Ovis aries: one gene and its partner. The protein of the gene in region 1 binds, or shares a complex with, the protein of each later gene. Links are inferred from orthologs where the notes say so. Each region holds a gene or a part of one and is shown in the gene's direction. Other genes may lie near its edges. The genes, in order: FLT3 and FLT3LG.

Region 1 (3,814 bases):
AACACCAGCCAGGACAGTATATCTTCCATGCAGAAAATGATGACGCCCAGTTCACCAAAGAGTTCACACTGAATATAAGAAGTAAGTGAAGAGGGTGGGATGAATGGGGAGAGTAGCATGGAGACATATATTACCATATTAAATTAGATGGCCGGGGGTGGGGGTTGCTATATAAGGCAGGGAGCTCAAACCAGGGCTCTGTGACAACCTACAGGGGTGGGATGGAGTGGGAGGTGTGAGGAGGTTCAAGAGGGAAGAGACGTACATATACCTATAGCTGATTCATGTTGATGTATGGCAGAAACCAACGCAATATTGTGAAGCAATTATCCTCCAGTTAAAAATAAATAAATCGAAATTTAAAAAAAGAACCAGAAGTGAAGTAGTCAAGAAATTTTATTTCACTCTTGTGACTCCTTAATGATGTATTAACTCAGACCAGAAAGAGCTAAGCAATGGCTTAGGGAAGGAGTGTGATGAAACTGTTTTGACCTGTGGAAGTGTTCTGAAATTGTATCTTCATATCTCCTGGCTCTGTTGATACACAGGCCTCTTTGAGGGCTCATCCTTTTAAGTGAAGATGCTGAGTCCATGTCCTCTCAGAAGGTGCTTTAGTGTATCACTTTACTGGTTTTAGTACTTTGAAAGATCATGTTAAGAAAAAGCCAAAAGTCATACTACCTGCCATTTAGTCATTTTAATAATTTTTGTTTCTTTGGTCTATGAAAAGAGGAGAGTACCTTTCATTGGACTTTTTCTGCAGATGCTTCTCCTGAAGCTAAGACTCATTTTAGGGTGACCAAGTAGATAGAGTCTATACCTGCATTCTCTCCAGGAAGGGTCTAGTGATGGACAGGGGGTGCTCCCCAGAGAGGTGGTAGGGCTGCCTGCACCGAAGGTGACAGGACAAGGGGAAAGGACCCCCCTCTTTGAGTCCTGCCTGAGACAGCCTCCAAGAAGCACAACTGCTTAGAGTGCATGGGCAGCCTATATAAACCTGACTTTGAAACCCTTTCTGAAAAGCGCACTGCTCCATGAGCTTGTTTTCCTCTTGTTTTCTACAGGGAAGCCTCAAGTGCTGGCTGAGGCATCTGCAAGTCAGGCTTCTTGCTCCTCTGATGGGTACCCTATACCATCCTGGACCTGGAAGAAGTGCTCAGACAAGTCCCCCAAGTAATGAGGACCTTGGCCTCTCTTGTGTTAGAATATGAAACTCTCTCTGACGTACTGACGCTTTCTCGTGAATTCAGTTTAAGAAGAAACGCTAGAGCATTTCAAATGCTTACCTTCCTAGTTGATCATAATTCTCAATGATCACAGATTGTTTCTGATAACCTATAATAGATGTGTCTCTTACAAACCCCATTAGAGAAACCCTTACTTCCAATCTGATGACAGTCATGCCCCTTTGACTTCTCTGCCATTTATTTTCAGCTGCACAGAAGAAATCACAGAAGGAATTTGGAATAAAAAGGCCAACAAGAAAGTGTTTGGACAGTGGATATCGAGCAGCACGCTGAACATGAGTGAGGCCATCAAAGGGTTCCTGGTGAAGTGTTGTGCCTACAATGCTCTTGGCACGTCCTGTGAGACAATCCTTCTGAGCTCACCAGGTAGACAGCAGTCGCTATTGAAACATGCCACCTTCTGGAATTCCCCACTAGAAGTTAGGCCCTGTCTTTAGCTTTTATTTGGGGGAGTTTTACAAGAGTGTGCAGATTCAGTGTGTGAGATGAGAAGGCTTTTTGAGTCAGGCAGGAATCCCCACTGAATATACATGTTCTGTAGTTTAAGGGCAGAGTGACTTCTACTGATGTTACTGTAACTCATGAATTCAGGTAACGTGGGTAGTACCCCAAACTCCTGGTATAGTGGGCATCTACCCTGACGACCCTGATGCTCAGTGGTACGGAATCTGCGTGCCAAGCAGGAGTCTCGAGTTTGATCCCTGGATCAGAACAATCCCCTGGAGAAGGAAATGGCAACCTGGAGAACCCAGGTTCTTGCCTGGAGAATCCCATGGACAGAGGAGCCTGGTGGGTTACAGTCCCTGCGGTCGCAAAGAGTCGGATGTAACTTAGCAACTGAACAACAGCAATGACAAACAGAGATCCAGATCCAGGGAGATGGATTTAGTCATTTGGAGTCTTTACCTCTTTCCCTTTCAGTTAATCTCCTTATTTGCCTTTTAGCCTGCTGTTTTATCATTTTTGGTTTGATATTTAGAGCCCTCTGAAATTAAGCAATTCTGAAACCTGGCCGCCTACACTAATGGTTTAGAATCACCAGCATCCCCAAACTAACTTCCCCACATTCATATGACAGCTTCACTGTGGGAACACAAGTTTCTTTTTTTTTTTTTTCAAAATGAGGTATAGTTGAGTTACAATGTTGTGTTAGTCTTGGGTGTACAGCAAAGTGATGCAGTTTTATATGTGCATTCTTTTTCAAATTCTTTTCCATTATCGTTTATTACAAAACACAGAATATGTTGATAGTTCCCTTTGCTGTGTAGTGGGACTGTGTTGTTTGTCTACTTTATGTCTAGCAGAAAAACACTCTTGATTCAGTCACATGTGTGACTTTTCAGATTCTTTTCCACTATAGTTTATTACAAGATATTAAATATAGTCCCCTGTGCTATAGACTAGGACTGTGTTGTTTATCTATTTTATATATGGTAGACAGATTTCTTCTTTTCTTTTTTTATCTGGCTTGACTATCCTATGGGTTTAAATAGATGTAATCCTGAAAACCCCTAGTAAATGATTTTTTAAATTGGGCTCAGAGGATTTCCCTGACCTACCAGTGGTTAAGACTCTGTGCATCAATGCAGGGGGCATGGGTTCCATCCCTGGTCAGGGGACTAAGATCCCACAAGCCACAGGGTGTGGCCAGATAAATAAATAAAATGGGTTCGGAATCATCTAAAATTTTCTGGGAAGGAAGTGTCCTTTATATGAATATGGCCTGACTTTTCTGTGGGCTTCTGTGTGTAGAGGGCTTGTAAGCATCACAAATAACAGCCCCTCGGGCAGGATGTGAGAGGTTTTAGCGAGCCTGCGATCTCCGGATTCTCACCCACTGCTCCGGGATGCTCTTCCGTTGCAGGGCCCTTCCCTTCCATCCAGGACAACATCTCATTCTATGCGACAATTGGCCTCTGTCTTCCCTTCATCGCCGTTTTAACCATGCTGATTTGTCACAAGTACAAAAAGGTAAAACCAAAGGTTAAAAAAAAAAAAAAAAAAGCCGTCACTGTGTCCCATATCTGAAGAATGCCCTGTGGCTGACTGACTCATTATTTCCTCTTGGAAGCAATTTCGTTACGAAAGCCAGCTGCAGATGGTGCAGGTGAGCGGCTCTCTGGATAACGAGTACTTCTACGTTGACTTCAGAGAATATGAGTATGATCTCAAATGGGAGTTTCCGAGAGAAAACTTGGAATTTGGTAAGAATCGGATGTTTCGCCTGTTTCCTTCCTGTGGGAAAATCCTCAGCGAATGCTCACTCACTCACACGTGTCTTGCAGGGAAGGTCCTGGGGTCGGGTGCTTTTGGAAAAGTGATGAATGCGACCGCCTACGGAATTAGTAAGACAGGGGTCTCCATCCAGGTCGCAGTCAAGATGCTGAAAGGTACAGAGACGCGCCGAGAGGGGAGGTGCCGCCTGCCGCCTCCTCTTTTCCATCATGGTTATGGGTACGGCTTGCCCGGCTTCAAAGCTTAAAAGGGAGTGTGTTGGGGTTGGTGTCCACTACGTCATGAATGTAAAACTCAAGTCCACCTCCTCTTCCTCTCCTCTGTCTGCTTAG
Region 2 (3,742 bases), on another chromosome or scaffold:
ATTTTAAAAAGTTATTAGTGACTATTTTTTTAATATATTTTTGGCTGCTCTGGGCTTTCGTTGCTGCCCTCGTTGTGGGGTACTCTCTAGTTTTGGCGTGCAGGCTTCTCATTGCAGTGATTTCTCTTGTTTTGGACCATGGGCTTTATCGCATGGGTCAAGCAGTTGTGCCCAGGGGCTTAGTTGCCCTGTGGCATGTGGAATCTTCCCAAGCCAGGGATGAAACCCATGTCCCCTGCATTGGCAGGTGGACTCTTAACCACTGGACCACCAGGGAAGTCCTATTAGTGACTTAAAAAAAAATCAATGAAATGCAACCTTACTACGTGCTAGGCACTGTTCTAAGCACTTTCTGTATATTCCCTCATTTAATCTTTGTGACAACCTTATGAAGTTGGTATAATAATTATACCCACTTTATGGATGAGGTGACTGAGGCCCAGAGAAGTGCACAGCCTACCCCCACCCCTTCCCCCAGGTCACACAGCCAGCACCAGGCAGGCCTTTTTTTCCTTTCCCTGGCCTGGCCCTACTTCTCAGTCACCTGACCTCTCTCCTGGCAGACTCCTCCACTCTGCTGCCCCCAAGGAGTCCTGGGGCCTTGGGAGCCACGTCCCTGCCGGCCCCTCAGTCCCCTCTTCTGCTCCTCTTGCTGCTGCTGCTGCTGCCGGTGGCCCTCCTGCTGCTGGCCGCTGCCTGGTGCCTGTGCCGGTGGAGGAGGAGACGGAGGACACCCTACCCTGGGGAGAGGGTGAGCCAGCGGGGTGCGCAGAGCAGGTGGAGAGGGTCCAGGGGCTGACCAGAGGTGGCGGATTCCATGGGCGACACGGTACCCTGCCCCTCCCATCCCCAGTATCCTCTGCTCCTGCGGCTACTGGAGGACCCTGGACTTGGTGTTGATGTGGGGGCCATGGGGGTAGGGGGTGACAGAGTGGGAGCAGGGAAGCAGTGGGTTAGCTCTGGATGTAAGGAAACCCCTCTGCGACCATGGAGGGGGACAGACTGAGAAGACAGACTGGAGGCTGGGTGAGGGTCCAGGGAGAGAGGACAGGGTCTGAGCAGGGGCCGGGACAGGACCACGGGGTGGAGAGGAGGGGACAGGCAGAGTCAGGGGTCAGGAGGGACGGGGCTGGAGAGTGACAGACGTGGTGGGGTCGGGGGTCTGGGGCGAGCAGGGAAGGGGAGGGGCGCGGGCAGAGGACGCTGGGTCTGGCCCAGTGCGGAACCTAGGAGGAGGAGGGACAGTCCGGCACTAGGCATTCTGGAAAGACAGTGAAGCTCAGCAGGCGGGGAGGTATTTGGATATAGGAGTCTGCAAGCCAGGAGAGAGCCGCCTCCAGGAACAGGCTCTGCAAAGCCCTCCAGGTATGAAAAAGCTCAGGTTATTCTAGCAGCTTTGTCCAGTCTGGGGGTGGGGTGAAAAAAAAAAAAATGGCACTGGAAGATGTTTGAGGTAACATCTTCCTAAGGAAGGGAAGCTGGGACTTCCTACCCCGGGGAAGCAAGAAGCCCCTGAGGCGAACCTGGGAACCTGGGGTTGTAGGTGGTACCCTGAGGGAGAAAGGCAGGGAGGGGCCTGTGGGTTCCCCAAGCGCCCAAAGGAAACATTTGGCAGCAATCGCTCACCTGTTGAGTGCCTCAGTGCCTCCGGCCTTGTGCTGAAGCTTTCTACGAATTAACTCACTTAATTGAGAAACTGGTGGCCATTATCTTCCCCATTTCCCTTTGGCGGAAACCGAGGCTCAGAGAGGTAAATCTTTTGCTGAAAGTCACACAGCTCCTGAGTGACAGCCAAGACTGGACTCTGGGCCCTCTGATTCTAGCATCTGTGCTTTTCACTCCTCTGCCTTAGTTTCCTTATCTGTACAAGAGACTCATAATCATCCTTTACGCTAGAGTTGTCAGGAGGTTAAGTGAAAGGACCACGAAAAACCCCCTAGAGCAATACTTACTGTCCATAGGAAACAGAATACAAGCCACACATGTGACTTTAAATTTTCTAGTAGCTGCATATTTTTTTTTAATTTTTAATTGAAGTATAGCTGATTTACCACATTGTGCCAGTGCATCTTTTAAAAACAAACAGGTTACCTGAAAGAATTTATGTTATTTCACCCTGTGTATCCAAAAATCTTGTCATCTCAATGTGCAATCAATACTTTAAAAATTATTGAGATATTTTTACATTCTTGTTTCCATACCAAGTTTTCAGAATCCAATCAATGTGTAATGTGATGCTCACAGCACATCTCAATTCATATGAGAAACTTTTATTAGAAATACTCGATCTATATTAAGATTCCATGAAACTTACAGTTGCTTAAGTAGATTCCTATACTCAAGTTCTTTGAAACCTACAGAAGTTTTCCAATAATTGGATCAAGGAACAGTTTCTGAATTCAATGATTTTTTTCATTTCAGCATTTGTTTTGGACAGTACTTTTTACTACTTTTTGTTTTTGAGATACAATTTTCGATTGAGAAATTGTCCTCTTATCCTTGTCCCTTTTCATACCCTGTTTTCCCACGCTCCCAATAACCACACTATTAGTTGAAGCTTAAATTAGATGAAATGAAAAACTAAGTTCCTCAGTTTCGCTGGTCACAATAGGAATGCCCAGTTTTCAACTGGGGCTGGGCTCAAGGGCTATCTTGGAAAGCACAGATCTAAAACATGTTCATCATTGCGCTAAGTTTTCTTTGACAGCAATGCCCAAACACATAGTGAGTGCTCACGGTGAATGGAGTTGTTTTTGAGCATTGAGTCTGTTCTTGAGCTTGTACCCTGAGCTTCCTACTTTCCCCTCCTCTGTCCACGGAACCTCAAACAGCCCAGTGAGTCATCTATCATCCCCTTTTACAGCGGAGAACACTGAGGCCGAGAGAGAGCAGTCACCTGCCAGCGGACACAGAGTCGGAACTTGGAGGAAGTCAGCTAGAACCTGGTCCTTTCCTTGGCCACACTGCTCCTGTCACTGTTCCCCCGGGATGGAGGCAACGCCAGCACCCACCATCGGCTCTCCCTTCCCCCCTTTGTACAAAGCCCTTGTCTCCAGGAAATTGTATATAAATCATCATTTTCTACCAGCTCTGGCCAGGTTTGTCTGTGGATGGGACACGGTGTGTGTATGGGGCCGTCTGGGTTCGGGTTTGGTTTTTCAGTTAATACAATGTTTCATTCAATACCTATTTTCTGAGTCCTCCTGGGGCCCAGGGCCAGAAGAGGGCAATGCTGGGACCCAGACGTGAATCGGAACCAGCCCCGCCCTCTCAGGATTCCTGGTCCAGACGGGAGAAGACGTCGGCCCCAGAGAGCCCCAGTACCCGATTACACACGCTCTAATGGAGGTGGCGTAGGCACTGTGAAGATCCCCCAGGCGGTACCTGAGCCTGCCCGAGCGATATCAGGGAGGTTCTCTAAAGGGAAGGACTCAAGCCAGATTTTGGAAAAGGGGGTGTGGAGGCGGAGGTGGGGGGACGGCATCCCAGTCAAGGGACACTTTCAAGGCAAAGACTTTATCCAGAAAATCCAGAAAGTGAGTAGCTCCTTTGGGGAACACTCGGGCATCTAGAAGTCATTCTTTCATTCGTCAGCTCTCAAGCGGAAGACTATCTCCACCTGTTTACCAGGTGGGGACACTGAAGCCCATACACGGCTAGGGATTTAGTCAGATCACAAGTCAGACAGGCACTGGAATTCACATCTCTAAGGCTTGGCGGAGCGCTGAAGGGCCAGCCCTCC

Evidence for each region.
Region 2: the proteins of FLT3 (region 1) and FLT3LG are in contact, whole or in part, in a crystal structure (PDB 7QDP), measured with the Homo sapiens proteins. The link is inferred for Ovis aries from reciprocal best matches to the Homo sapiens genes FLT3 and FLT3LG. Residues at the interface, in NP_004110.2 of Homo sapiens: Asp180, His279, Gly280, Phe281, Gly282, Met300, Ser301, Thr302, Tyr303, Asn306, Arg307, Met309, Arg311, Ser333; in NP_001191431.1 of Homo sapiens: His34, Ser35, Pro36, Ile37, Ser38, Ser39, Asp40, Lys44, Lys87, Glu99, Asn102, Thr103, Glu104, His106, Phe107.

What each region holds. Positions count from the first base shown.
Region 1 is NC_056063.1:32,310,498-32,314,311, forward strand, and holds part of FLT3 (receptor-type tyrosine-protein kinase FLT3), read left to right. Parts: coding exon 1-81; intron 82-1,064; coding exon 1,065-1,173; intron 1,174-1,434; coding exon 1,435-1,613; intron 1,614-3,111; coding exon 3,112-3,218; intron 3,219-3,318; coding exon 3,319-3,451; intron 3,452-3,532; coding exon 3,533-3,637; intron 3,638-3,814. UniProt on the Homo sapiens protein: Tyrosine-protein kinase that acts as a cell-surface receptor for the cytokine FLT3LG and regulates differentiation, proliferation and survival of hematopoietic progenitor cells and of dendritic cells.
Region 2 is NC_056067.1:55,671,128-55,674,869, forward strand, and holds the end of FLT3LG (fms-related tyrosine kinase 3 ligand), read left to right. Parts: intron 1-563; coding exon 564-751; intron 752-2,863; coding exon 2,864-3,070; downstream 3,071-3,742. UniProt on the Homo sapiens protein: Stimulates the proliferation of early hematopoietic cells by activating FLT3. Synergizes well with a number of other colony stimulating factors and interleukins. Required for the development of B cells, and dendritic cells (DCs).